Linked DNA regions of Arabidopsis thaliana. The protein of the gene in region 1 binds, or shares a complex with, the protein of each later gene. Each region holds a gene or a part of one and is shown in the gene's direction. Other genes may lie near its edges. The genes, in order: EMB2795, SMC2, SMC3 and AT3G57060.

Region 1 (6,086 bases):
CTGGAATTGGATATAATGGGAAAGTGATTGTCTAGAAGTAATAGCAAAATTGTATATCTTTGCTATTGAGTACATAGATTTTACTTAATTGATTGCTTTAAAGGGTTTATTAATAACTCCATTTTATGTATGGTCTTGCAGTTAAAATTGGTAGACCAGGGTACCGGGTTACAAAACAGTATGATCCCGAGCTGCAACAAAGATCTCTTCTGTTCCAGGTAAGCATCTAATTGTTATTGTTGAACTTCAATGATCATCATTAGAGACTTAGCCAGAGTAAAATCTCACTGTGTCTGTTTACTCCTCAAACAATGTTTTACAGATTGAATATCCTGAGATAGAGGACAACATAAAGCCAAGACATCGTTTCATGTCATCTTATGAGCAGGTGAGTGTTACAACTCCTTGTCTATGTATCTCATAAACTCTTTCTTTTCCTTCATACTGAATAGTTTTCTTCCTTTTTTTTTGTGTGCAGAAAGTTCAACCTTATGACAAGAGCTATCAATACCTTCTATTTGCAGCCGAACCATATGAAATCATAGCTTTCAAGGTATGTGTTTTTTTTTTCTTTTATTCGTGACATTTACATTCTACAAGTCATCTGGGATTATAGCTCTAGTAGCCCAACATATCTTGGTCGAATTGTTTACTGATATTGATGGTTGTGTTTTCGCATTGGTTTCAGGTTCCTAGCACAGAGGTTGATAAATCAACCCCAAAGTTTTTCTCTCACTGGGATCCAGACTCCAAGATGTTTACAGTAAGTGCTTCTCATCATAATTCTCATAAAGCCATAAGCTTAGTTTCTTTTCCGAGATTGGATAAGTTTTGTGTTTGGATTAATCAAAATACTGACAAAGAATGTAATAAAACAGCTGCAGGTGTATTTCAAGCCTACCAAGCCAGAACCAAACAAGCCTCAGTCAGCTGTTGGAGCAAATGGTCTTCCACCGCCACCACCACCCCCGCCTCATCAAGCTCAACCGCCACCACCACCTCCATCTGGTTTATTCCCACCGCCACCACCTCCAATGGCTAACAATGGTTTTAGGCCCATGCCACCAGCTGGAGGTTTCGGACATCCTAACATGTGAAAGAGAATCCAGCGAAGCAGTTTAAAAACACAGTACTCTGATCATGGTTTACTAAGAGAGACTTGCTCTTTGACTGAAAAACAAATCTGTTTTGACATGGATTCTCAAAGCTGTGATCTCTACGGATGTATTAGCTCTCTAGATACCTTCTTTGAGTTTCTTCTATCTGCTTCTCGTATGTACCATTTTGACAAGATTGTTTTCCGTTAATAGTACAATTAGCGTTGGCGAAACAAAATTCATTTGTTATATATCGGTTAACTCTTAACCAAGTCTTAACCCAATCTATCAGTCCTATGACCGGCCATGGATATTTCATATTTAAATTATTTCTAACGATGATCAAAGTGGAGTATACCACGTCACTCACCTTTCGACGGGGGTAATCATGTATTTACACATTCTCATCAGTGTCTCTGAAATTCAAAAGGGTAAAGAAGAGGGAAAATCAAAATATTAAAATCCCTAATTCCCAAATTATTTTGAATTTTCTCGGATCCACAAAGCTCCGGTGAACCCAACAAACGCATTTTCTCTCATTGAGTTTATACAAGCGGAGAAGTTCTGTCATGGATGAATCCTTAACTCCAAACCCTAAGCAAAAGCCAGCTTCAACGACGACTCGAATCCAGGCTCCGACGAGTCCCTTCTTCTTGGGATCTAACGATGACAGATTGGAACGGGAACAAGCTCGAGCCGCAAGAGCCGCTGCTAGCCGTCGTAGGTCTGTCATTTTCGCTCGTGGGTCTCAGCCTGAGACGGAGTCTGATCCTTGTTTCGACAAACAGCAAATTCTCGAGTTGTTTCAGAACTGTATCAAATTAGCCAGTGAAAACGTAAGCAACTACTTTCTTCTGTCTTTTTTTCCCCCATAATTATAGCAAGTGAAAAAGGAAAATTCGTGGCTAAAAGTCCTTGTCTTTGACCTTGGTCTTGGGTAAATATGCTTCTGATGAGATTTACAAGTAGCTTTTTAATCACTATAATCTTTGTTTAGCTTTGCAATTTAATTTATGTTATGTGGGTTTTGTGTTAAACAGAAAATCAATCAAAAGAATACATGGGAGTTGAATTTGATCGACCATCTTTGTGAGATTATCAAAGTTGAAGATGAGAACAATACAGAAACAAATTTTCAAAAGGTAAGCTTTCGATTTCATTCTTCTTTGGCTTTTTTAAAATGCTGTTAAGACGTTTGAGAATACACAAAAACATAAAACTGAAAGGAAAAACAAGAGTTCAGAATCATATTTAAGACATATGTGTTCGTCCAAGTCAGGCAAGTTGCACTCTTGAAGCTGGAGTTAAGATTTACTCAATGCGGGTAGACTCTGTTCATTCAGAGGCATACAAGGTCTTGGGTGGAATTACCCGAGCTGGCCATGATGACGGTGGAGGTTAGATTAATAACCTTACACACAAGAAACTATCTTATCTTTAGTACTTGGTTATAACTGTCAGGGTAAACTTCAACAGACAACATGTAGCTTTATCTATTTGTGGAGATATTTATTCACTCATTTTTGTTAATATGGTTTGCCAAACTAGTCTTGAAACTCATTAGGTAAACAGATGAATACTTTTCTTATTGTTTTGACTTCTACACGAGAATTTAAAATCTCTGAAGAGGGCTATGCAATGCATTGAATTTCTTTCTTTAGCTCTAATTTCTAACGTAGGTACTAAAGTAAAAAAAGTTCTTATATTCTTTTCTGATATTTCTTTCATGAACTAGATCACGAGGATGCTGCTGGTGCCGTAGAAAATGCAACTAACCAAAAGAAGCAGCCAGAGAAAAAGGTAGTTCATACACAAAATCTAATTCTGGATTTAATAGATGAGACTATTTACTGATGTGTTTCGAACTTTCAGATATCGCCTTTATCAACACTGGAACCTTCCTTTGATGCCCTTAACGTGAAGAAATTTGATGGTATTTGCTTAACTTAACGTAACTCCCTTTGTTCGTTTGTGAAAGTAAGTTATGTACGACAATAATTTATCTTTCTTTTTTCTTTCCAGTGGCATTTGCAGTGGATCCCCTTTATCATCAGACTTCAGCACAGTTTGATGAAGGTGGAGCAAAGGGCCTGCTGCTAAACAATTTAGGAGTCTATGGAGGGTGTCAAGTTCTATTTGATTCACAAGAAATCCCTGGAAAGCTTGTTTCGTCTGCAAATAAGCATGACAAATCAGAAACAATTGATCTATCCTTTGTTAAAGGTCTGGCTTTACTGGCTGATATGCCTCGCTCTACCATTGTACATGTTTTATTGCATTATGCTTTCTCTGATGTTGTGGTTAAATTTGTAGAATGTGTGGAGCAAATGGTGCTAAACATGCGAAAGAAGGATGAGATTGTACCATCTCTTCGGGCTATAATCAATCAATTTGATGAAGAGAACCAAAGACCATCTGACACGTTTTCTTGTGGTCAGCAGACGACCGAGTCATTTGATATTTCACATGGTAATGATGCTAGCTATGCCGACGATGATGAAGGATATGAGAACTTTGGAACTTCTTTTGATTATGAGGGTCAATCCGGTGATGTTGATGAAAACTTTGGCCCCAATGAAGCAGAACCAATATATTCAAATTTTCATGAGGTTATTACCATCGCTCTTCTAATAATCTTTTTTCTTAATGAATTTTATTTGGTACTGAAAACCTAATGTTTTCACTTTGCAGGAAGTTGAACCAGCCTCCCTGCAAGACATGGATTCAGATGACAGACTGGAGAATGTTGATGACTATCTCTTTTTGTCGTTGGGAATTTCATCTAAGCAAAATTCTTGGGCAGGTCCTGATCACTGGAAGTATCGAAAAACAAAAGGTATGCGCTTATATCTCTGATTTCAAGAAATAACATAAGTCCTCTTAGTTTTCGATTTTCTTCTGAGGGTTTACATTCTCTGAACTCTTTTTGCAGGTCCAGATGTTCAACCTGCTTCAGAAATTAAATCCTCTCCACCAGCGAAGAAAACCAGGAAAAAGAAGCAAGCAGAGCCTGAACTAGATTTTGCAAAAGCTTTGGAGGAAGAAATGCCTGATATTTTTGCCCCTCCAAAAAACCCAAAGACTTTACTTCTCCCAGCAAGTAGAACCCCTTGTCAAACGAAGCTTCCAGAGGATTGCCATTATCAACCTGAGAATCTAATAAAGCTATTTCTACTACCGAATGTGATGGTATGGCTTGCCAAACACAGACCAAGTCACTAGTTTGCTATTATTTCTGTGTTTTTTTATCTTTTCTTTTCCATTTTGTGTCATCTTTTCTGAATTTACTCTCCTGAATGATAACAGTGCCTTGGGAGGAGGAGAAGAAAAAACTCAGGTAACACTTCCAGTCATTAAGAAAATCATCACTTGTTGGTATCCGTGGCGGTTTATGAGGCGTATAACAGTGTCTTTGTTTTCTTTACTGATATTAAATTTCCGTAACAAAGGAAATGGTTTCAACAATTTACCACTAAATCTGTATTGGGTTTCTGAAAAAAAAATATTTATGTTACACTTGTTTTGTTATGTGCATATTCCAGGTGAAACTTCAAGACAGCAGCCTGATGATTATGAACATGGGGAATCCTGGGGAAATGATAATGTTTATGATGATGATGATGGCCCATTCGATGATAATGAAAATGATCAAAGTGATGCAGAGGATACCAACACATTAATCTCTCAGCCACGCCAGGTATGATAGATTGATCTGCATATGGTTACAGCATTACAAATCATTTTAAAAGGCTGTAGCTATCTATCTTAGGAATGAAACATTGTTGTAATTATCCTACACAACTCATGCTTTAGGTCAACAAAATTGATGTCCAATACGATAAAGCTTCAAAACAAGTTGATGTGCAAGTGCTAAAGGAAACTCTTTGGGAGTGTCTTCAGGAATCTCATCAACCTCCAATTCAGGTTAACCAATATACTCTGATTATCTCTCTTATGATTTACATGACTCATTCGTGTACTTCACATCAGCCAAGTTTTGTCAACATACAATCTAGAATTCCACACACATACATTCCTGTTTAGTGCAGTGCACCTTTTTCTTATGGTTCCATGCCGAAACTAACCCAAGGATGGCTTTTCCTTCTTTTCTGCCCATTACTGTGATGATATTAACAGAATCTGATTGTGCAGGATGAGGAACATCAACAAGAACCACCTGAAAGTAGATCTTTCAAAGTGCTATTGGCTAGCTTCCCAGATGATTGCCAAGCAGCCGAGAGAACCCAAGACATCTCACCACATCTATGTTTCATCTGCTTGCTGCATTTGGCGAACGAGCACAATCTCAGCCTCATTGGTTCTCAAAACTTGGATGATCTAACAATACACCTTGCCTGAAAGAAAAGTGAAGATAGACCAAAAGGAGAAGCCGAGTGTTTAGAGAGTGCCTTTGTGCTCATCACTATGCCTAATAAGTATGTTGTAGTTCAATGTAATGACTTGATTGTGTTGTAACTTTGTTCAAAATCCACTAATCCTTTGTTGTTTTGGTTACATGTTTTCATTCCATCTGATTGATTTATCTCCATCAGAAAACTTAAATACAATAGTATGAATCAAATTCACAGATACACTGAAACTTTTCTTTCGTGTGATAAGAAATCAAAACCTTTGGTGTGTCCTTAAGCAACCTCAGTGCCGCTTTTGGATTTAACAGTTGACTTGGTGGCTCCATCTTTGTATCCTTTCTGACGAGCTCTCTGTTCCCACATAGAAGTCAGCTTCTTCTGCTCCACAAGTGCTTTCTCCGCCTTCTCTCTTGCTTCTTCACAAGTCTCCATACCCGAGTTACACTTATCTGCCTCCTTTTGGTAAGATGATGTTATCTTCTTGGCCTCTAGCAGACCCGTGTCTACTCGTTTGTGTTTCTCCATCGATGCTGCTTCACGCTGCTTCAGTTCCTCTGTTAAAAGTTCAGCGTAGTTCTTCTCTGTGTCTTCGTTCACCTCTGGATCACGCTTTGCACAA
Region 2 (7,863 bases), on another chromosome or scaffold:
TTTTGTTTTAGAGTGTTTTTGACTCGGAAGCTCGTGAACTCTGCGAATCCGGTCACGAGTAAGGTGTATTAATAAAAGCTCTTTTGGATTGGTAGTGATAATGGCTTTACGAATAAATGAGCTTTATTTAGAATTTGATCCAAAAATTTGATATCAGATTTAAGACAGAAGATGGAGAAGACGACAAATTCTTGAGTTTAACGATGTTGAGATTGAACAAAAGAGCAAGAATGGTCAAAAACGGTGGGCCTTGAGGGTAAGTTTGACATTTACGATGGGGATTATCCGGTTTGGCCATTTCCATGCCATTTCAAATATAAACTAATAAAAGTTTACTAAAGCTTATTGTATTAGCAATTAAATATTACTAGTGAATAGTATTTTCATTACTGGCGAGATAAGTTGGTTTGAAAATTTCTTTATTCGACGTATAAATTGGTTTTATCTATGATAACCAGCCCGGTTCGATGAACAGATGAGGCGGATATTGAAGATAACCGTGTGTTTAGTGGGGAAATGACGAATTTGACCTTGAAGCGTGTGAGGTATTACGTCGACAAGAGAATCTTTCGGTGGGATTACAACCGGGTAAAAGATGGCACGTGGGGCCTGGTTACTCCCACGTGAGCCACACCAAACAAATCTTACGTTATTTTGAATGTGTTTTATCACGAAGACAAAAAATGCCAAGAGAATCGAAACAAACAAAAAAAACATAAATAGAAAGCAAAGATCTATTGAAAATTACATCAGAATCATTGTAAAACATTAATAGAAAGCCAAAACCTATTGAAAATTACATCATAATCATTGTAATTTAACATTCACATGATCCCATCATAATCAAAACAAAGTAGGTTCAATGAAAACAACGAAAATTTGTCACCAAAGTTAAGTAGGAGTGAGAAAAATGGTTTCCTCGTTCATTTGATTACAAAGATAACCATAGAAACTTACCATACTCGTAACAAAACCAACTATACCAAAACTAACCAAACCCCTAAACCGCTTCTTCTTCATCTTCTCGGTTCTTCTCATCGCCAACTTCTCTTCTAATGAATTCGCATCTTGATATTCTGCATGTAACGATTCAACCAACGAGCGAACCAAAGTGGTCTCATCTACACCACCACCACTTTCCAAACTCTGCAAGTCCAGTTGGTTGATTGGACCGGTCTTTTCCTTGAAAGCCTCTTCAAGTTCGGTTAACCTCTTAGCCATGAAACGAAGTTTCAACATCTCTTCTTCGTCTTCATCGTCCTTAACCGACGATATCTCCGCACATAAAAGGGTTTGCGTGAAAACAAACCGGGTTCCGAATTCCCGGTATGCGTTAAGATCACCATTGCCAGAACCGAATTCTTGTAGGTAATACTCAAGTTCTTCGAGTTTCTTCCCCAAGATTGTGTTTGCTTTCGCCTTCGTCGTCTTCATCCTTTTCTTAAACAATTATTTCTCCCATTTTCGAAAGGTTTTAAACTCTTAAAAATAACTTCTCGTAGTCGATCGGATGGCGACGGTTAATGTGAAGCTACACGTATCATAAATATAACTGTCCAAGGCCAAGGTTACGTGGCCTATAGAAATTAGATCCTATAGTTTTGCTCCCTCGACGATATCGATATCCGTTGTGTGGATCTGCGCCATGCATGTCGAACATGATATATGTGCATTAACAAACATAGCACCATTCATTAGTCATATTCAAACAAGGAATGAACCATTAATTTGTGGGTGTGAAGCAGAGTGGGATATCGTTGTTAACATATGAAGTATACATGTATAAAATTGTACAGAATGTATTTGATACCATCAAACCTTCTGAATGGTGTGGAAGGTTTCAGAACTGTTCCCAAAGTTCACTTTCCCGCTCCTTGTGTTCCCAAATCGAAATGCCCTTGTTTTCAAAATCCCAAATCGACTCCTAATTATCTTCAACTAAAAAACCAAAATTGACTTCAGATTCGCCTTCTTCTTCTCTTGCAACGTTTCAATTTCATGTGCCTTCGACCTTAGATTCCAATTTTGAATTCGAATTTCTGGGGTTTCGATTGAGCTCTTCTCGCTTTTTTCTAGGGTTTTGTCGCATATGCTGCGAGTGTGAGTGGAAATTTGGGGGAAGAAGAAGAAGGAAGATGCATATAAAGGAGATATGCTTGGAGGGTTTTAAATCATACGCGACGAGGACGGTGGTTTCTGGTTTCGATCCACATTTCAACGCGATAACGGGTCTGAATGGTTCGGGAAAATCCAACATCCTCGATTCCATCTGTTTCGTTCTGGGTATCACCAATCTTCAGCAAGTTCGAGCTGCTAATCTTCAGGAACTCGTCTATAAGCAAGGCCAAGCTGGGATTACTAAGGCGACTGTCTCGGTTACCTTTGACAATTCCGAGAGACACAGAAGCCCTCTCGGCTACGAAGAACATCCAGAGATTACTGTGACTAGACAAGTATGTTCTTTGTTTCTCTTTTGTTGTACTCATCAATTCATGTGCTTGACAAAATTTGAGACTTTAACTTGGAATTGTGTATCTTTTGGTGTTAAAAAGATTGTAGTTGGTGGAAGGAACAAGTATTTGATAAATGGGAAGCTAGCACAACCAAGTCAAGTTCAGAATCTATTTCACTCGGTGCAGCTTAATGTCAACAATCCACACTTTCTCATCATGCAAGGGCGTATCACCAAAGTTTTGAATATGAAGCCTCCGGAGATATTGTCCATGCTTGAAGAAGCTGCTGGAACAAGGATGTATGAAAACAAGAAAGAGGCTGCATTGAAAACGCTTGAAAAAAAGCAGACCAAGGTTGATGAGATTAATAAGCTTCTTGATCATGAAATATTGCCGGCTCTCGAGAAGTTGAGGAAAGAAAAATCACAGTACATGCAGTGGGCTAATGGTAACGCGGAGCTAGATCGACTAAGGAGATTCTGTATTGCCTTTGAATATGTTCAAGCGGAGAAGATTAGAGACAATGCTGTTCTTGGAGTTGGAGAAATGAAGGCGAAGCTCGGGAAGATTGACGCGGAAACAGAAAAGACACAGGAAGAAATACAGGAATTTGAGAAACAGATAAAAGCTCTGACTCAGGCAAAGGAAGCCAGTATGGGGGGAGAAGTAAAAACTCTGTCAGAAAAAGTGGATTCACTGGCTCAAGAAATGACACGTGAGTCATCTAAACTTAATAACAAGGAGGACACCCTTCTGGGAGAAAAAGAGAATGTTGAAAAGGTTAGAGACTGAAGAAAATTATTTCTGTTGCCAGAATGTTATAGATTCTCAGCTATTTCTGGCGTAAATAACTTCCTACTTGGTGTTGACAGATTGTTCACAGTATAGAAGATTTAAAGAAATCCGTAAAGGAGAGAGCCGCTGCTGTGAAGAAGTCTGAGGAAGGAGCGGCAGACCTAAAACAAAGATTCCAGGAACTCTCCACCACATTGGAAGAGTGTGAAAAGGAACACCAGGTAGTACCACTAAAAAAGTATCTCTATTCCATGCCAAATAATATCCATTCGTTTTATGTTAATTGGCTTTATGTCCTTTGATTATTAGGGCGTACTAGCTGGTAAGAGTAGTGGAGATGAAGAGAAATGCTTAGAAGATCAACTACGGGATGCAAAGATTGCTGTTGGAACAGCTGGAACAGAGTTGAAACAGCTAAAAACCAAAATAGAACACTGTGAAAAGGAGCTAAAGGAGAGAAAGTCTCAGTTAATGTCAAAACTTGAAGAAGCCATTGAAGTGGAGAATGAACTTGGAGCTAGGAAAAATGATGTGGAACATGTAAAAAAGGCACTTGAATCTATTCCTTATAACGAGGGTCAAATGGAAGCTTTGGAGAAGGTTAGCATGGTCACTTTAGTTGATTTTGTCTTTTTCTACAGAAAGTATACTTCTCTGACTGAAATATATATTTAGGACCGTGGAGCCGAACTTGAAGTTGTGCAGAGGCTGGAAGATAAAGTGCGTGGCTTATCAGCTCAATTAGCAAATTTTCAGTTTACATACAGCGATCCTGTGAGGAACTTTGACCGATCTAAGGTGAAAGGTGTGGTCGCAAAACTAATAAAAGTAAAAGATAGGTCCTCAATGACAGCGTTGGAGGTAGACTGGATATCTTATCATTTCACAATAAACACTGTTGGGATTTCAATTGCCTGAAGTCACTTTGCTTCTTGTTTCCAGGTTACTGCTGGTGGCAAGTTGTATGATGTTGTTGTAGACTCAGAAGATACTGGAAAACAGCTCCTTCAAAACGGTGCTCTTAGGAGAAGAGTTACAATTATACCTCTGAACAAAATCCAATCTTACGTTGTTCAGCCTAGAGTGCAGCAAGCGACTGCTAGATTGGTATGTGGATCTTTTGTTTGGTCCATTTAGATTTAATCTCTTTGTTTTCATTTTCATTGCTAATTTTTTATTATATATTTTCAGGTTGGAAAGGATAATGCAGAACTGGCACTTTCCTTAGTCGGTTATAGTGATGAATTAAAGGTACACGCCTGCACAGAGTAACATGAATCTGATATATAATCCTCTATTTTTCAAGTTTTCAAGAATACATAATAAATTTCAAGTTCAAGCTCATATTTGTGTGAATCATGGTATTTTGCAGAATGCCATGGAATATGTTTTTGGCTCCACTTTTGTTTGCAAAACTACTGATGTAGCAAAGGAAGTAAGTATTTCCTAAGCATTTAGTATTATATGTGGGCAGGGCCTTCAGTTTTTCTTTCTTGTGAGATGATGTCAGCTTATATATAAATCTTTACGTGGAATATGTGGTGTGTACATTTTTTTAATTGCCTAAGCTTGTTTTTAGTAACTCTTGACGGATAATCTATTCTAAAGTTTATCACTTTTGTTGGGGTTATAACTTATAAGTGCAACATATACCTTGAGTTTATTCCCACTGTCTTAGCTACTATTTGATAGTTTTGATTTATTGCTTTTGCCTCTAGAGTTCAGTCTTTGATGTGCCCCTCATTGCTTCTTCTGCAGGTTGCTTTTAATCGGGATATTCGGACTCCAAGTGTCACACTTGAAGGTGACATTTTCCAGCCAAGTGGTCTTCTTACTGGTGGGAGTCGCAAGTATGTCTTTCTTTCTTGGACGCTTATATCTCTAGTGAGAGTCATCTCCTTATAAAAGTATTTTGGTCTTTTTTTTTTCCTTTGCCTTAGGGGTGGAGGTGATCGCCTTAGGAAACTTCATGACCTGGCAGAAGCTGAATCAGAATTACAAGGACACCAAAAAAGGTTGGCTGACGTTGAATCACAGGTAAACCCCTATTCTTCCGTGATAAGTCTAAATACAACTTGGAATTGAACAGGTGCTAGCCATATTTTGAAATTACTAAGAAAATGATAAGGCAGTAGCTTAGTAATGGTCTCTGATTGCTCTCTCTAGACTCCTCATGTCACACAGTTATAAAGTACTTTCAGTATTTTAAACGTAAACTGCTGATTTATCTTGACATGACAGATCAAAGAGCTTCAGCCTCTTCAAATGAAATTCACAGATGTTTATGCACAGTTGGAGCTGAAGACGTATGACTTGTCCTTATTTTTGAAGAGGGCTGAACAAAATGAGCATCACAAGGTTATATCTCCATCTTCTATCTATATCTTTCAAGCTAAATTATCTGCGTCGTTGGTTTTTTTGTGGTACTTGAATCACATACATTTATACTTTCCATCACCTGTTGTATACACAGCTTGGCGAAGCTGTAAAAAAACTTGAAGAAGAGCTTGAAGAAGCGAAATCCCAAATCAAAGAGAAGGAACTTGCTTATAAAAATTGTTTTGATGCTGTTTCCAAACTAGAGAATTCCATCAAAGACCATGACAAAAACAGAGAAGGAAGACTTAAGGACTTGGAAAAAAATATTAAAACCATCAAAGCTCAAATGCAGGCAGCTTCCAAAGATTTAAAGGTATTTTATATTTTTTGGTCAGTTACTTCCATGCCATTGAACTTCTTGAATCCATTTTTCTTTTCCTTATCCTGGGTTATCCAGTTTTATCATGGAAGCATTGCCTTCTTTTGAATTTGCTGTAACGTTGTCTCTGGTTCGTCATGCGCATAGAGTCATGAAAATGAAAAAGAGAAGCTTGTGATGGAGGAAGAAGCAATGAAGCAAGAACAATCGTCCTTGGAGAGCCACTTAACTTCATTGGAAACCCAAATCAGCACTCTGACTTCGGAAGTAGACGAGCAGCGAGCCAAGGTGCTGTAGTTTTGCTACTCTTGGTGAAGTTTGTTGAAAATAAAGAAATATATCATGTTAATATATGATTCCCCTGCAGGTTGATGCCTTACAGAAGATTCATGATGAGTCTCTTGCCGAGCTCAAGTTGATACATGCAAAGATGAAGGAATGTGATACACAGATAAGTGGTTTTGTCACTGACCAGGAAAAGTGTCTGCAGAAGCTTAGTGACATGAAGCTTGAGAGAAAGAAATTGGAAAATGAGGTACTTTCTGTTTCTGTTCTATTCCTGTTTCTAGGTTTTGCAAAGCTACAAGCCATGCTTGTTTCTTCCTCACTACCAATCTGATTTATGCTGTTCTTGCACTTCGTATAAAAATCTTTCGTATTCACTAATCTTGCCTATTAAGAGTTTCTGCCTTGGATTTCTTTAAAATTTTGAAAGTTCAGTAATTGCGTTAAAGTTCAAACGTCTCAATGGGTAACATACAGCTGTTGGGGATGGTGAGTGAATTAGTAATTGCATAGAAAATTAAGACTTTCTTGTAACGTGATTTTGATATAAAATTGGAAAAGTTCAGTAGTTTCTGAAATTTCTGCATGTCAAGGAATATACTTTTCGTGACAACTGTCTCTTCCAATTTATTTATAGGTCGTAAGGATGGAAACGGATCACAAGGACTGTTCCGTGAAAGTAGACAAACTTGTTGAGAAGCATACATGGATAGCATCTGAAAAGCAACTTTTTGGGAAAGGAGGGACAGATTATGATTTTGAATCTTGTGATCCGTATGTGGCCAGAGAAAAACTTGAAAAGCTCCAATCAGATCAATCAGGGTATGTGTATGAGAATTAACGTTTTATCTTTATGAAACCTATATTATATTGTCGTCACATCATTGAAGTGAAATATCAATATGACATGCATTCTTCTTCTTTTCCTGGTTATTTATTTCCCTCATGAAGCTTGGAAAAAAGAGTGAACAAGAAGGTTATGGCTATGTTTGAGAAAGCAGAAGATGAATACAATGCTCTGATATCGAAAAAAAATACTATCGAGGTTAGTTACAGAGGACAGAGGGCCTTTGCAATGTATTTCAATAGCTTCGTGTGCCATCATAACACAATTTTTTCGGTTTTTTTCCTAGAATGACAAATCAAAAATCACGAAAGTGATCGAGGAGCTTGATGAGAAGAAAAAAGAAACCCTGAAAGTTACTTGGGTTAAAGTTAACCAGTGAGTGTCTTTCTAATCTCCAACAAAGAGTTTGTCTTTGCTCTTAGGCTCATGATCTCATTCCTCAATGTCTGAAAAGATAATATGATATTAGCCTTTGTTAAATCCTTCTTTTTTATTAGGGATTTCGGATCAATCTTTTCAACTCTACTACCTGGCACCATGGCAAAACTAGAACCTCCTGAAGACGGTAACTTCCTTGATGGTCTTGAGGTGCGTGTTGCCTTTGGAAAAGTCTGGAAGCAGTCTTTATCAGAACTCAGTGGAGGGCAAAGATCTCTTCTTGCGCTATCACTAATATTGGCATTGCTTCTCTTCAAACCGGCTCCTCTTTATATATTAGATGAGGTACATCTCTGCTTTTCAATTTCAGATTTCTCAGTTTCCAATTGATATTTCAAATTATCATA
Region 3 (4,905 bases), on another chromosome or scaffold:
GCATATAATATATAGATTAAATCAGGGTCAATGGCTATATGAAATTATTTTTGTCTATAGTTTGAGTAATCATATGTATAGTGTATAATGGATGATTTAATAGAGAGATTGGTTTTGTCATTTTATATATCCATCAATATATTGCAACTTCAGAGGAAAAGAAAATAGTTAAAAACCACATTTATTCTAGGTGTCTCTCATATTTGACCAGTTTCTCATCTCTCATCAATTTTCACTTGTGGACGCATGTTAGTTAATTGAAAATAAAAAGACAAAATTTATATGTAAATGCAGTATACTGTATACTGAATATAGTAATTATGTTTTTAGTTACTACTCCTTATGTTTCACAAAAAGTATCATTTTACAATTTTTAACACAAATTAAAAAAACATCTAAAAATTTCTTTTACCTATTGTAATACACTTTTTATTTTTAATTAATAATTGAAAAAACAGAAATAAAACAGATATTTGATTTTAAAAACGGCATCGAAAACACAAAACAACAATCTTTGTTAAACAAAACAAAAAAATCTTAAAACGATATTTTTTGTGAAACAGATGAAGTATTTTAAATTAAAAATTGTAAATTAAAGTTTATAGTTTTTTTTACTATCATTTATAAGAAAATATGTTTGATAAAACATTAACTACTATGTAACATAAGTAAAACCGTACCCTACAAAAAAAAAACATAAGTAAAAGCGCATATAAAGATGCTACTATCTTAACTTTAAAACATCACAACCAAAACGATCAGCAAATACGTTCCATATTTTTTTGTTAAAATATTAAAATTTTTAAAGAAAATGAAGACAATTTTTGTCTTTTTAACTCTTGCAGTTTTGGTTTCATCATGTAAGTTCTCATTCTTGTTCAATTAAAAATATATATATATATATATATATATATATATATTATAGTTTAAATTTTAATTTAATAAGTTTTCAAAAAACTATTTTTACGTGCATCAAATATTATGATAAAATCTATTTCAGAAGGAAAATCTCAGTTTTCCGGCCCTGCATTAAGCCCTAATATTGATCCAGCAGACGAACATATTGGACACTCTCCCGAAGACATGAAAATTATTTTTTGCCAACAATGTGCATTTCATTGTATTGAGAAAAAGAAGAATATAGCTCATTGTGAAAATTCTATTTGTCGTTGTACATTGGAAGACATTTTGTAAGACATTATATTTTTAGAATAATATAAGAAATAATCATTGTGACTGATTTTCTACCTTTACAGCCTCCTTTCAATTTTTAATAAAAATTAATAATATAGAATTGAAAATACATTGAGTTATACATTTTTACATATATTTAAACGACTATATACACTGAATCTTTATAACAAAGAAAAAAAAATCAAAATTGTAATTTTTGTTTGTATCTTCTATATGTATTAAGTGTTACATGTGTTATTTATAAAATGTTTGTGAAGGTTATCACATAAAATTTACTCATCATCTCATGGTTTGCTTTTTTAGAAGAGAATTTAATTTTAGAAATAGAATATAAAATCATAAGTCATATATTTCTTTTTTTGAATATAAACAATCCGAAAAAATACCTAGAAACTATCTTGTTTGTTTTGATTATAAACAATTATATATATATATATATATATATTTATTTAGTCTAAATTTTACGATGTTTACTAATTGCATAACAACCGTTAAATTAGAGGATTGAATCTATCAAAAATTTAAAGACAAAATATTATAATAAAAAGTTTAATTAAATGAGGTATTTTTTATCAATAAAAAACAAAGTAACAATTAAACGTCCAATTAAAAATGAAATATTTTTTTGGTTTTTTCCTACGTCGGTAACTAATAACGTCACAAAGTTGATGGTATTTGAAAGAATTAGCGGCAATTTATTCCCCCCATAAATTTTCATTTGTGACCTAAAATTAACTTTCCCTTTCTCTCTCCGTGCCTCTTCCCATTCTCTTTCAATCTTGTTTGAATCTCCCTCGATTTTCATTTCTCTTTCAATTTCAAAATTCGCACCTCCTCCTCCAAAGTTGTTGAAATCAGATTTTGTTGACCGGAGAGTAGTTATTTATGGAGGAAGATGAGCCAATGGGCGGCGGCGAGTCTGAGCCTGAGCAGAGGAAATCTGGAACTCCGAGACTTTACATAAAAGAGCTTGTCATGAGAAACTTCAAATCATATGCTGGTGAACAACGCGTCGGTCCTTTCCACAAGGTTAGGATTTTACGCTGATTAGATTTGGGTTTTCTCGAATTTGAGCTTCTATGTCAATTACAGTATAGTTTTCGAATTTCTCGCTTTTGAATTGCCCTTGCGAATTTCAGTTTTTTTTTCAATTTGAAGATGAATTTGAGCATATTTTTCGGATTTCTGTTTTTGGCTAGTTTGAATTGCTCTTGCGAATTACAAGATTTTCATTTGAATCTATTGATTCGGAAAATTAGATTTACTGAATTGTTGAAAATTCAGAGTTTTTCTGCGGTGGTTGGACCTAATGGGAGTGGAAAGAGCAATGTGATAGATGCAATGCTCTTTGTATTTGGGAAACGAGCCAAGCAGGTACTTGATTTACTCTTGTGTTTTCTTTTAGTCACTGAACTTTGTTTGAGTAACTCTTATGTTTATTTGGTGTTAGATGCGGCTGAACAAAGTTTCAGAGCTAATTCACAACTCAACTAATCACCAGAACTTGGATAGTGCTGGAGTTTCTGTACAGTTTGAAGAGATTATCGATTTGGTAAAACTTGTTGTCTGCTTACCTATTATTAGACTTTGGTTAAGCTTTCTAGTAATGTGAATTGTTTATTTTTAACTAACTCAGGAAAATGGATTGTACGAAACTGTTCCTGGAAGCGATTTCATGATTACTCGGGTTGCATTCCGAGATAATTCTTCCAAGTATTATATCAATGAGAGGTCGAGCAATTTCACTGAAGTTACCAAAAAACTCAAGGGGAAAGGAGTAGATCTTGACAACAACCGTTTCTTGATTCTTCAGGTTCTCACTTTACAGAAACAGCTTGTTGAATTAACTTGTTTCCCCCTCTAATATTGTTTCTTGAACGTTGACAGGGGGAGGTAGAACAAATATCACTCATGAAGCCGAAAGCACAAGGTCCCCATGATGAAGGTTTTCTTGAATACCTCGAGGATATAATTGGAACGAATAAATATGTGGAGAAGATAGATGAATTAAATAAGCAGTGAGTAATCTATGCATTTGTACTGTTTCTTTTAGACGTAAGTGGTTCCTGATTTGTTGGATGCTATTAATATAACTGCAACTGCCTCTGAAATTTAAGGCTTGAAACCCTCAATGAAAGCCGGTCTGGAGTTGTGCAAATGGTGAAATTAGCGGAGAAAGAAAGAGACAACTTAGAGGTTTGTTGACGTTTTTCCTTCTTGTATGTGACCCGGTTTTGTTGTATATGTTGCTGATGTGCTTTTGGAACAGGGTTTGAAGGATGAGGCAGAGACTTACATGCTGAAAGAGTTATCACATCTTAAATGGCAAGAAAAGGCTACAAAAATGGCATATGAAGATACTGTAGCGAAAATTACTGAACAGAGAGACAGCTTGCAGAATTTGGAAAATAGTCTAAAAGATGAGCGGTAAGCACTACTAATTTTTCTTTAAAATATCAAAGAAATTATATAAACTCATTTGTAACAAATATCGTAACATTTCTGTTACAGAGTGAAAATGGATGAGAGTAATGAAGAGTTAAAAAAATTTGAGTCTGTGCATGAAAAACATAAGAAGAGACAAGAGGTATGTCTGAAATCAATAAGATGTGTCTGCTCTCATGCTTATTGCCGACGAGGCTAAATTCATTTTTCTCTCTCCTAACTTTCAACAAATGGTGAATCACCTTATCTTCCTTTGCAATGATTAGGTTCTTGATAATGAACTTAGAGCCTGTAAGGAGAAATTCAAAGAGTTTGAAAGGCAGGACGTAAAGCATAGGGAGGACTTGAAGCATGTGAAGCAAAAAATCAAGAAACTCGAGGATAAACTTGAGAAGGTTAATAGTTTTGGAAGGATGGTTGACTTTTTTATGGCGTGCATATACCTTACCTGTGTTCTTATGCAGGATTCATCCAAAATCGGTGATATGACAAAGGAGTCTGAGGACTCAAGCAATCTAATACCGAAACTTCAGGAAAACATACCAAAGCTTCAGAAGGTCTTGCTAGATGAGGAGAAGAAATTGGAGGAAATCAAAGCGATAGCTAAAGGTGTGTTATGCTTTAGGATATTAGTCCCCAAATAATGATGTCCTTGTTACCCTGGCAGCTTCTTTAACAACATCACAGTGAAAAGTACTTGGAATTGGCAACTTCTTAAACATGCTAGTACCCATCTATAACGATTAGCTTCTTGCTCAAGAGTAAGCTTGTTCAGTTAATAATTTCTGTCAATTTTGTTACAGTTGAAACTGAAGGTTACCGGTCTGAGCTTACAAAAATTCGTGCTGAATTAGAACCTTGGGAAAAAGATCTAATTGTGCACAGGGGAAAGCTTGATGTTGCATCATCCGAAAGTGAACTCTTGAGCAAGAAGGTACATCTCATATAGTTATAACGATTTGCTTGGAGTCAAGAACTTTTGCTTGTCAAAATAACTTGGCTCGTCTTCAAAAGAATTTCTAGAGAGGTTTTTAATTAGCTTATCCCACTGCTTCTTTAAAGAATTCGTTTGCCATAGTCAAATCTTTATATGCTTCCTGGAGCTGCTTTCGCGCTGAATAATCCAAAATACTGTTGGACGACTAATTTTTTTGTTTCTGTTTGAACATTACCTCTTTGTTATTCTAGCATGAAGCTGCTCTGAAAGCCTTCACAGATGCTCAGAAACAGCTCTCTGATATATCAACGAGAAAAAAAGAAAAAGCT
Region 4 (7,999 bases), on another chromosome or scaffold:
CCCACGAGAGAAAGTATGGTGCTTTGCTGTTACATTTTTTGTTTTTAATGAATTTGCTGTTACATTTTTGCATTATGTTAATGTATTTGAATCACGTATTATTATGTTATACGGTTTAGAAAAAGAACAGCTAATTGGACCACATCTTAATTAAAAATAACACTAATTGGACTACACATAAACAACATGGGAAGAAGTTGAATTGCACAAGGCAAAAACTCCTTGAAGATTCTTTATTATTTTTGGTACTTTGTTCTTTGTCTTTTACTCTTTTCAATAAGGGAAGAGGAAAGATTCGAAATTCAGAACCTAACACTACAAAGACTAAATATGATATAAGGAAGATATGCATAAGACAAAAAGCTAATATAAGAGGAAAGCTCAATAGTTTTAGAGGTGGATCTTGACAGATAAAAATGTTTGGTTCTTCATTGAATATTTGAATGTAATAGATTTCTTTGACGCCAATGAGCTAAATATATACAAAGTAAATTCAAAGGGAAAAATCATTTTCTCTTGTGTGATCTTCCAAGCAGAAGAGGCTAAAAAAGATTTCTTGAAATTGATAGAAACTCAATTGTTTCAGCAACATTTTTTCACAAGTATGAGGTCACATATGTTCTGGAATTCTACAAACTATATACTATACACATATACTGCTGCTCTGCTCTCTCTCTACCTCTCTCTGTCTGTCAAAATGTTTCATAGTTAAGAACCTTGCCAGCGTACCAACAGAAGATATGATAGAACCTTACTTGTGTACTCTGCGCATTTACTGCTGTAAAAGCCCTTCCTGAATTCAGAAAGGCCTGAATGCAAAACAATGACTAGTAAGCTAAGGAGAAAAACTAAAACAAAAGGTAATCTTCAGGATTATAAAACATGCTTCCAGGAATGTTTTGGTACTGAAGCTAAGAAGGTATTATCACCTATGAACTGTTTTCCAGACAATCACTTAAGCATATGGATCATATCATCAATGCTGATGTACTTATGTAGAGAGGAGATAAATTATCTGAGCATGTGAATGATCCTGAGGATACTTGTATCGACACAAAAACCAGCTACTATGAGAGATAAACTCAAGCAGCTGAGCAAAAGGAAACGAGCATTATATGCATCCCAGAGTTGCTGATCAGAACAAATACAACCAAATTGGAGTTGAGAAATCTCGATTTTTGTTCATGGGCCATTAACAAGCATCATTAACATAACAACATCCATGCGAATCCATAAGATATGTATAGTTTCATATACGAAGCCGAACTTTAGTTACACATACACACACTGAGTGACTGAGACATATATCAATCACTTCCACCAAAAATTGTTCCCTTTTCGACCAAAATGATCTATCTTTATCCTCTATAAACTCAAACTATTATCAATTTCAGAGTTTGTAGGGAAATTTGAAGCGACTCTAATCTAAAACAACAGAGCAAAACAAAAAAAAACGTAAAATTTGGGGAAGAGAAGAACATATACGCACAGAAGGAGAGCTAAGGATCTCGAATTCAATCATCCGACGTGGAAAGGACCAATATCTCCGTTTCTCAGAGAACCAGCGATCTCATCAGCGATAGCCACGCAAGTGAAAACCCAACCACTCAGAGAAAACCAAACCATTCTCATCAGATACATCGCCATGCCCAGCGGCATCGCCATCTCAAAGCTTTTCTGCTTCTTTCTCTCTCTTTCGTCAGATCAAATGATTGGCCGGCGAAGCCATTAGAGTGGCCAAAAGCTTGGGGAAAAAAAAATCAAAGATGATTCGGTAGGTTCAAGGATCTTCCAACCATTTAGATTCGGCCACGTCTTCGTCGTATTTATTCACCAGCCGACGGAGACTCATAATTAAATTCGAGGGCCCACATGAAGATAAAATAATTAGGATCCGACCCGGTTTTGTATCCGGAACCCGACCCGATAGGATGATCCATGGATTCCCGCTCCGTTGCCTTTTTCGATTTCATTTTGAAATTGAAATTCCCCAAAAGGTAGATTCTTCTTTCTCTCTCTCTCCTCTGAGCAACGTCTCTCTCTCTCTCTAGAAAAAATGGCTCCTCCCTTTGTATTCCCTCAAATTCTACGAGCCCTAGAAGAAGATCCGGAGGATAATCACCGTTTGTTCGCTCAGAATCCCGTCGATGTAACCTCTCTTCGCCCTTCCGATCTGGAAGAATTCGTCAAAGGTAAATTGTCTTTGTCTCTCCACTGTATGAGCGTATCTGAGATGCAATTGCGAGAGGGTTTAGATTTGCTTTGCAATCCCAATTTGGGAGGAAAATTGCATTATGTATGTTGATAGTGTCCTTAGTCACCTGAGTCGTCAGGTAGGTTTAGTGGGAATTCGTGTCTACAAGCGAAGCTGAACAATATGAAATTGATTAAATTTAAGTCGAGAGAAATTTCATTTAGTGCGTTTCTGGAGTCAAATTTCTTCTATGACTCTTGTGATTGATATGTGAGGCATTTTGTTTACTTTCGTCTCGTGGAACAGGTGTATCCTTTGACCTTTCTGATAGAGAACTCTTTTGTGTCGAGGATCAAGATGTATTTGATCGTGTCTACTCTTTGGTCAGGAGCTTCTTTAGTCTTCCTCCATCTTGCAAGTGTAATCTTGTAGAAAGCCTTCGGTCCAATCTAAGCGTTCTTCTTCCCAATGTCGATTCGATATCCCGGTCTGTCCAAGATCAGGAGGATGATGTTCCAATCATTGATAGGATCACATCACATCGCAATGCCTTGAAGATATACACTTTCTTTCTCCTCACTGTTGTTATGAATGAGGAATCACACATCAGCTCAGTCGAGACTACAAAGGTGTTCTCTCTTTTTCCAGCTGATAATACAGAATAAAATTCATCTCTTGTTGTCGAATTTACGGTAGTGATGTTGTGGATGAACAGGTTGCAGCACGAGGGAGGAAAAAGCAAATCATCCAGTCATGGAACTGGGAACCTCAGAGGGGTAGGATGCTCAATTTGATCGCAAATTCTCTTGAAATCAACCTATCCTTGCTCTTTGGATCATCAGACCTAGACGAAAACTACCTGTCTTTCATTGTCAAGTAATTTCCGTGACCTAATGAATCTTGTTTCTTTCATAGTCCATGCTATAGATACATTCTCACAACATTTTCATATCATTTCCTTGTAGAAACTCGTTCACTCTTTTTGAAAATGCCACAATCTTAAAAGATGCCGAGACAAAAGATGCACTGTGCCGAATCATCGGAGCATCTGCTACAAAATACCACTACATTGTGCAGTCATGTGCCTCAATCATGCACTTGATACACAAGTATGATTTTGCTGTTGTACACATTGCTGATGCAGTTGCTAGAGCTGAAAGCAAGTATTCAGATGGTACGTTGGCAGTGACAATCATTAGAGATATTGGGAGGACTGACCCAAAGGCCTACGTTAAAGATACTGCTGGGGCTGATAATGTGGGACGTTTCCTGGTCGAGCTTGCTGATCGTTTGCCAAAATTAATGTCGACAAATGTTGGAGTTCTGGTCCCTCATTTTGGTGGTGAATCATACAAGATAAGAAACGCACTAGTTGGTGTTCTTGGGAAATTAGTTGCAAAAGCATTTAATGATGTCGAGGGAGATATGAGTTCCAAGTCCCTTCGTCTGCGAACTAAGCAAGCTATGTTGGAAATTTTGCTCGAACGCTGTAGAGATGTTTCAGCCTATACAAGGAGCCGTGTTCTTCAAGTGTGGGCTGAACTCTGTGAAGAGCATTCTGTTTCAATTGGCCTATGGAATGAAGTTGCATCACTATCTGCTGGAAGACTGGAAGATAAGAGTGCAATTGTTAGAAAATCCGCATTGAATTTACTGATCATGATGTTGCAACATAACCCCTTTGGTCCACAGCTGCGGATAGCTTCATTTGAAGCAACCCTGGAGCAGTATAAAAGAAAACTGAACGAACTTGAACCTACTGAGCATGCATCAAAAGAGTCAACTTCAGATGGTGAATCCTGTAATGGAGATGGTGAAATCGATGACTTGCATCTTGAAACTACAACTAAGATTCATCAAGATAGTCTATCTGATAGCTGTCAGCCAGAGAATGGAGAAGAAATCAGTGAGAAGGATGTTTCTGTTCCAGATATTGGTAACGTTGAGCAAACCAAGGCTTTGATTGCTTCCCTAGAGGCTGGATTGAGGTTCTCGAAGTGCATGTCAGCCAGTATGCCAATCCTCGTTCAATTAATGGCTTCATCTTCTGCCACTGATGTTGAGAATGCTATTCTTTTGCTGATGAGGTGTAAGCAGTTCCAAATTGACGGTGCAGAAGCTTGTCTCCGTAAAATTCTGCCTCTGGTATGGTCGCTTATCATGTATCAAACTCATAAGAATACATTCTTCTGACATTTTTCAGTTAGCATCCTCTTAATACATTGTGCTAAAAACCTTGTTTATTGTTGTCTTTGCAGGCCTTTTCTCAGGATAAGTCTATCTATGAGGCAGTAGAGAATGCCTTCATCTCAATCTACATAAGGAAAAATCCAGTTGACACGGCGAAACAGCTGTTGAACCTTGCCATAGATTCGAATATAGGAGATCAGGCAGCACTAGAGTTTATTGTTAATGCTTTAGTGTCAAAAGGTGAAATATCTAGCAGCACGGTAGGTTCCTTCTGTGACTCCAGCGTATGAGTATGCTATGAATTATGGTCACTTGATACGTGTAGTCTGCTTATGCACAGTCAAGAACAACTAAAAATAATGAGCGTTTGATTATTGATTAAATTTCTCGAGCGAAAAGGATTTTCACCTGCTAGAGGCTAATAAGTGCTTCTATCATTTTTCTGTTTGTAGACATCAGCTCTATGGGACTTCTTTTGCTTTAACATCAATGGGACAACTGCTGAGCAAAGTCGTGGGGCTCTATCTATCCTTTGCATGGCTGCAAAGTCGTCCCCTAGGATTCTTGGATCACACATACAGGATATTATTGATATTGGGTTTGGCCGTTGGGCAAAAGTGGAACCTCTACTTGCCAGAACTGCATGTACTGTTATTCAGCGGTTCTCCGAGGAAGATAGGAAAAAGTTATTGCTCAGCAGTGGCAGCCGATTGTTTGGTATTCTTGAAAGCTTGATCACTGGGAACTGGCTTCCAGAAAATATATATTATGCAACTGCTGATAAAGCCATAAGTGCCATATACATGATCCACCCAACTCCAGAAACATTGGCTTCTACTATTATTAAAAAGTCCCTGAGCACTGTGTTTGACGTAGTTGAACAAGAGGAAGCACAGACTGATACCGAAAATAATAAAGTTGATATTTTGACTCCAGTTCAAGTGGCTAAACTCAGTAGATTTTTGTTCGCTGTCAGTCACATTGCCATGAACCAGTTGGTGTATATAGAATCCTGTATCCAGAAGATCCGGAGACAGAAGACTAAAAAGGACAAACCGGCTGCTGAAAGTCAGAACACAGAAGAAAACCTTGAGGCCACCCAAGAGGTACAGACCAATTTCGTAGAGCGCAGCTGGTGGCACAAATTTTACAACCCTAAAGGGTTATTTTTGCTGAATAATGCAAAGTTTTCTTTGTTTTGTAGAACAATGGCATAAATGCTGAGCTAGGACTTGCTGCCTCTGATGATGCACTGCTTGATACACTCGCTGAAAGAGCAGAGAGGGAAATTGTTTCTGGGGGTTCTGTTGAGAAGAATCTGATTGGGGAGTGTGCAACTTTTCTCTCTAAGCTTTGCAGAAATTTTTCTCTGCTGCAAAAGGTAGTTAGTTTTCTATTCATTCATTCTGTTTCATGGCGTGTGATGAAGTTAAAAGCCTTCTTTTGCTCTCACATTTATTTTGGATATACATGATAAAATGAAACTTGTCTTTTCATTCGTACAGCATCCTGAACTACAAGCTTCCGCAATGCTTGCATTATGCAGGTTTATGATTATTGATGCAAGTTTCTGGTGAGATTAAATCATTATCATATAGTCTATTTATCCTTTACAAAACTGAATTTATAGTTAAATTGATGCATTAAACTCAATGTATGCCAGCGAATCCAATCTTCAGCTTCTCTTCACAGTTGTTGAAAATGCACCGTCTGAAGTTGTACGATCGAATTGCACCCTTTCCCTTGGAGACTTGGCTGTTCGTTTTCCAAATCTTTTAGAACCTTGGACAGAAAATATGTATGCCAGGTTACGGGATGCTTCAGTTTCTGTCAGGAAAAATGCTGTCCTGGTCCTCTCACATCTTATATTGAATGATATGATGAAGGTTGGACTCCTTACCTCTCTCCTTGCTCTCTTTAAATATCTGCAATTATAGTTGGAGGTTTCATTTTGTGAATCCTGATTTCAGGTGAAAGGTTATATATATGAAATGGCTATATGTATAGAAGATGATGTGGAGAGGATCTCTAGTCTCGCAAAACTATTTTTCCATGAACTGTCTAAGAAAGGTCAGTTGCAATAGCTGCTTTACATGACATAGCAACTTCCACCTTTGAATCAAATTTAACACTTAAGTTTATTTTCTGCCAAACAAATCCAGGATCGAATCCCATATACAATCTACTTCCTGATATACTTGGGCAGTTATCCAACCGGAATTTAGAGAGGGAGTCATTCTGTAATGTCATGCAATTCTTGATCGGCTCCATCAAAAAGGTATACAGCTTTTCAATATTGAAGTTAGTATGACCTGTATTTATTCTTATCTAATCACTCATCTGCATCCTCATCAATCTCCAGGACAAACAGATGGAGGCTCTAGTTGAGAAGCTTTGCAATAGGTTTAGCGGAGTCACAGGTATGCTTGTATTGATGATATATCCTTACACCTGTTTTGGGTTTAATAAGAAGTATATCCCTTTGACATCTACACCTAAACTTGCAGATGGAAAACAGTGGGAATACATTTCGTATTCTCTTTCGCTGCTGACATTCACAGAAAAGGGAATCAAAAAGCTTATTGAGTCATTCAAGTCTTACGAGCACGCTTTAGCAGAGGATTTGGTGACCGAGAACTTTAGAAGCATAATCAATAAGGTCTGGTTTCTCTGGTTTTCGTCACCCTAGTCATTTTTAATGCTATATGTTAGTTTGACATCTGGTTGTGAATCTGAACAGGGAAAGAAGTTTGCGAAGCCAGAACTGAAAGCGTGTATCGAAGAGTTTGAAGAGAAGATCAACAAGTTCCACATGGAGAAGAAAGAACAAGAAGAAACCGCAAGAAATGCCGAGGTTCATAGAGAGAAAACCAAGACCATGGAATCCCTTGCTGTCCTCAGCAAAGTGAAAGAAGAACCTGTAGAAGAATATGATGAAGGTGAAGGTTAGTAATTTTTTGACTCTTGGCTAAAGCAAAGTTCACTGTACCAGACTTACGATAGTCAAATGCCAGTTAACGGCAAGCTTTTCAAAATGGACTGTTTTTTGTATTCTCAGGTGTTTCAGATAGTGAAATTGTGGATCCATCAATGGAAGAATCAGGCGATAATTTAGTTGAAACTGAGTCAGAGGAAGAGCCATCTGACTCGGAGGAAGAGCCAGATTCTGCACAATGTGGTACGGCCATTCCTCGTTATTTAAACCAAAAGACTAGTGGCGATAATTTGATTGAAACTGAGCCCGAGGAAGAGCAATCTGACTCGGAGCCAGATTCTGCACAATGTGGTACGACCAATCCTCGTTCCTTAAACCGAAAGACTAGTGGCGATAATTTGATTGAAACTGAGTCCGAGGAAGAGCAATCTGACTCAGAGGAAGAGCCATCTGACTCGGAGGAAGAGCCAGATTCTGCACAATGTGGTACGACCAATCCTCGTTCCTTAAACCAAAAGACTAGTGGCGGTATGTGAAAACTTCAATATGTATTTCAAAAATCTCACACAACTTAAGCTACATTTTAGAAATTGTTATATACCGTTAAGTAAAGTTGTGAGGTTTTCAGGGGAAGAAGGCGAATCAGAAAGCAAGAGTACAGAGTCATCGAGCAGCATCAG

Evidence for each region.
Region 2: EMB2795 (region 1) and SMC2 share a complex: the UniProt entries of both Arabidopsis thaliana proteins name them as parts of the condensin complex.
Region 3: EMB2795 (region 1) and SMC3 share a complex: the UniProt entries of both Arabidopsis thaliana proteins name them as parts of the condensin complex.
Region 4: EMB2795 (region 1) and AT3G57060 share a complex: the UniProt entries of both Arabidopsis thaliana proteins name them as parts of the condensin complex.

The regions. Positions count from the first base shown.
Region 1 is NC_003071.7:13,828,790-13,834,875, reverse strand, and holds EMB2795 (condensin complex subunit), read left to right. Parts: upstream 1-1,533; 5' UTR 1,534-1,666; coding exon 1,667-1,933; intron 1,934-2,137; coding exon 2,138-2,239; intron 2,240-2,376; coding exon 2,377-2,494; intron 2,495-2,832; coding exon 2,833-2,897; intron 2,898-2,969; coding exon 2,970-3,030; intron 3,031-3,119; coding exon 3,120-3,320; intron 3,321-3,410; coding exon 3,411-3,706; intron 3,707-3,788; coding exon 3,789-3,933; intron 3,934-4,029; coding exon 4,030-4,286; intron 4,287-4,403; coding exon 4,404-4,434; intron 4,435-4,639; coding exon 4,640-4,794; intron 4,795-4,910; coding exon 4,911-5,021; intron 5,022-5,249; coding exon 5,250-5,456; 3' UTR 5,457-5,586; downstream 5,587-6,086. Other genes in the region: AT2G32600 (hydroxyproline-rich glycoprotein family protein), read left to right, coding at 142-218, 323-388, 479-553, 689-763, 879-1,097; AT2G32580 (transmembrane protein, putative (DUF1068)), read right to left, coding at 5,741-6,086. UniProt on the Arabidopsis thaliana protein: Regulatory subunit of the condensin complex, a complex required for conversion of interphase chromatin into mitotic-like condense chromosomes.
Region 2 is NC_003076.8:25,054,173-25,062,035, forward strand, and holds the start of SMC2 (structural maintenance of chromosomes 2), read left to right. Parts: upstream 1-1,852; 5' UTR 1,853-2,135; coding exon 2,136-2,453; intron 2,454-2,552; coding exon 2,553-3,233; intron 3,234-3,325; coding exon 3,326-3,469; intron 3,470-3,557; coding exon 3,558-3,848; intron 3,849-3,923; coding exon 3,924-4,109; intron 4,110-4,190; coding exon 4,191-4,355; intron 4,356-4,439; coding exon 4,440-4,499; intron 4,500-4,620; coding exon 4,621-4,683; intron 4,684-5,006; coding exon 5,007-5,098; intron 5,099-5,188; coding exon 5,189-5,285; intron 5,286-5,489; coding exon 5,490-5,606; intron 5,607-5,721; coding exon 5,722-5,940; intron 5,941-6,093; coding exon 6,094-6,234; intron 6,235-6,313; coding exon 6,314-6,481; intron 6,482-6,868; coding exon 6,869-7,053; intron 7,054-7,182; coding exon 7,183-7,276; intron 7,277-7,364; coding exon 7,365-7,453; intron 7,454-7,575; coding exon 7,576-7,801; intron 7,802-7,863. Other genes in the region: AT5G62400 (uncharacterized protein), read right to left, coding at 442-609, 958-1,434. UniProt on the Arabidopsis thaliana protein: Central component of the condensin complex, a complex required for conversion of interphase chromatin into mitotic-like condense chromosomes.
Region 3 is NC_003076.8:19,699,829-19,704,733, forward strand, and holds the start of SMC3 (structural maintenance of chromosome 3), read left to right. Parts: upstream 1-1,899; 5' UTR 1,900-2,079; coding exon 2,080-2,223; intron 2,224-2,478; coding exon 2,479-2,568; intron 2,569-2,644; coding exon 2,645-2,746; intron 2,747-2,830; coding exon 2,831-3,007; intron 3,008-3,081; coding exon 3,082-3,212; intron 3,213-3,311; coding exon 3,312-3,390; intron 3,391-3,463; coding exon 3,464-3,621; intron 3,622-3,705; coding exon 3,706-3,781; intron 3,782-3,905; coding exon 3,906-4,034; intron 4,035-4,103; coding exon 4,104-4,248; intron 4,249-4,442; coding exon 4,443-4,573; intron 4,574-4,827; coding exon 4,828-4,905. Other genes in the region: AT5G48595 (Defensin-like (DEFL) family protein), read left to right, coding at 812-860, 947-1,194. UniProt on the Arabidopsis thaliana protein: Central component of the condensin complex, a complex required for conversion of interphase chromatin into mitotic-like condense chromosomes.
Region 4 is NC_003074.8:21,115,109-21,123,107, reverse strand, and holds the start of AT3G57060 (binding protein), read left to right. Parts: upstream 1-1,994; 5' UTR 1,995-2,056; coding exon 2,057-2,192; intron 2,193-2,500; coding exon 2,501-2,823; intron 2,824-2,909; coding exon 2,910-3,070; intron 3,071-3,159; coding exon 3,160-4,339; intron 4,340-4,452; coding exon 4,453-4,644; intron 4,645-4,836; coding exon 4,837-5,490; intron 5,491-5,588; coding exon 5,589-5,765; intron 5,766-5,889; coding exon 5,890-5,957; intron 5,958-6,047; coding exon 6,048-6,270; intron 6,271-6,354; coding exon 6,355-6,454; intron 6,455-6,546; coding exon 6,547-6,662; intron 6,663-6,746; coding exon 6,747-6,804; intron 6,805-6,891; coding exon 6,892-7,043; intron 7,044-7,124; coding exon 7,125-7,329; intron 7,330-7,442; coding exon 7,443-7,847; intron 7,848-7,932; coding exon 7,933-7,999. Other genes in the region: AT3G57062 (uncharacterized protein), read right to left, coding at 1,519-1,665. UniProt on the Arabidopsis thaliana protein: Essential protein. Regulatory subunit of the condensin complex, a complex required for conversion of interphase chromatin into mitotic-like condense chromosomes.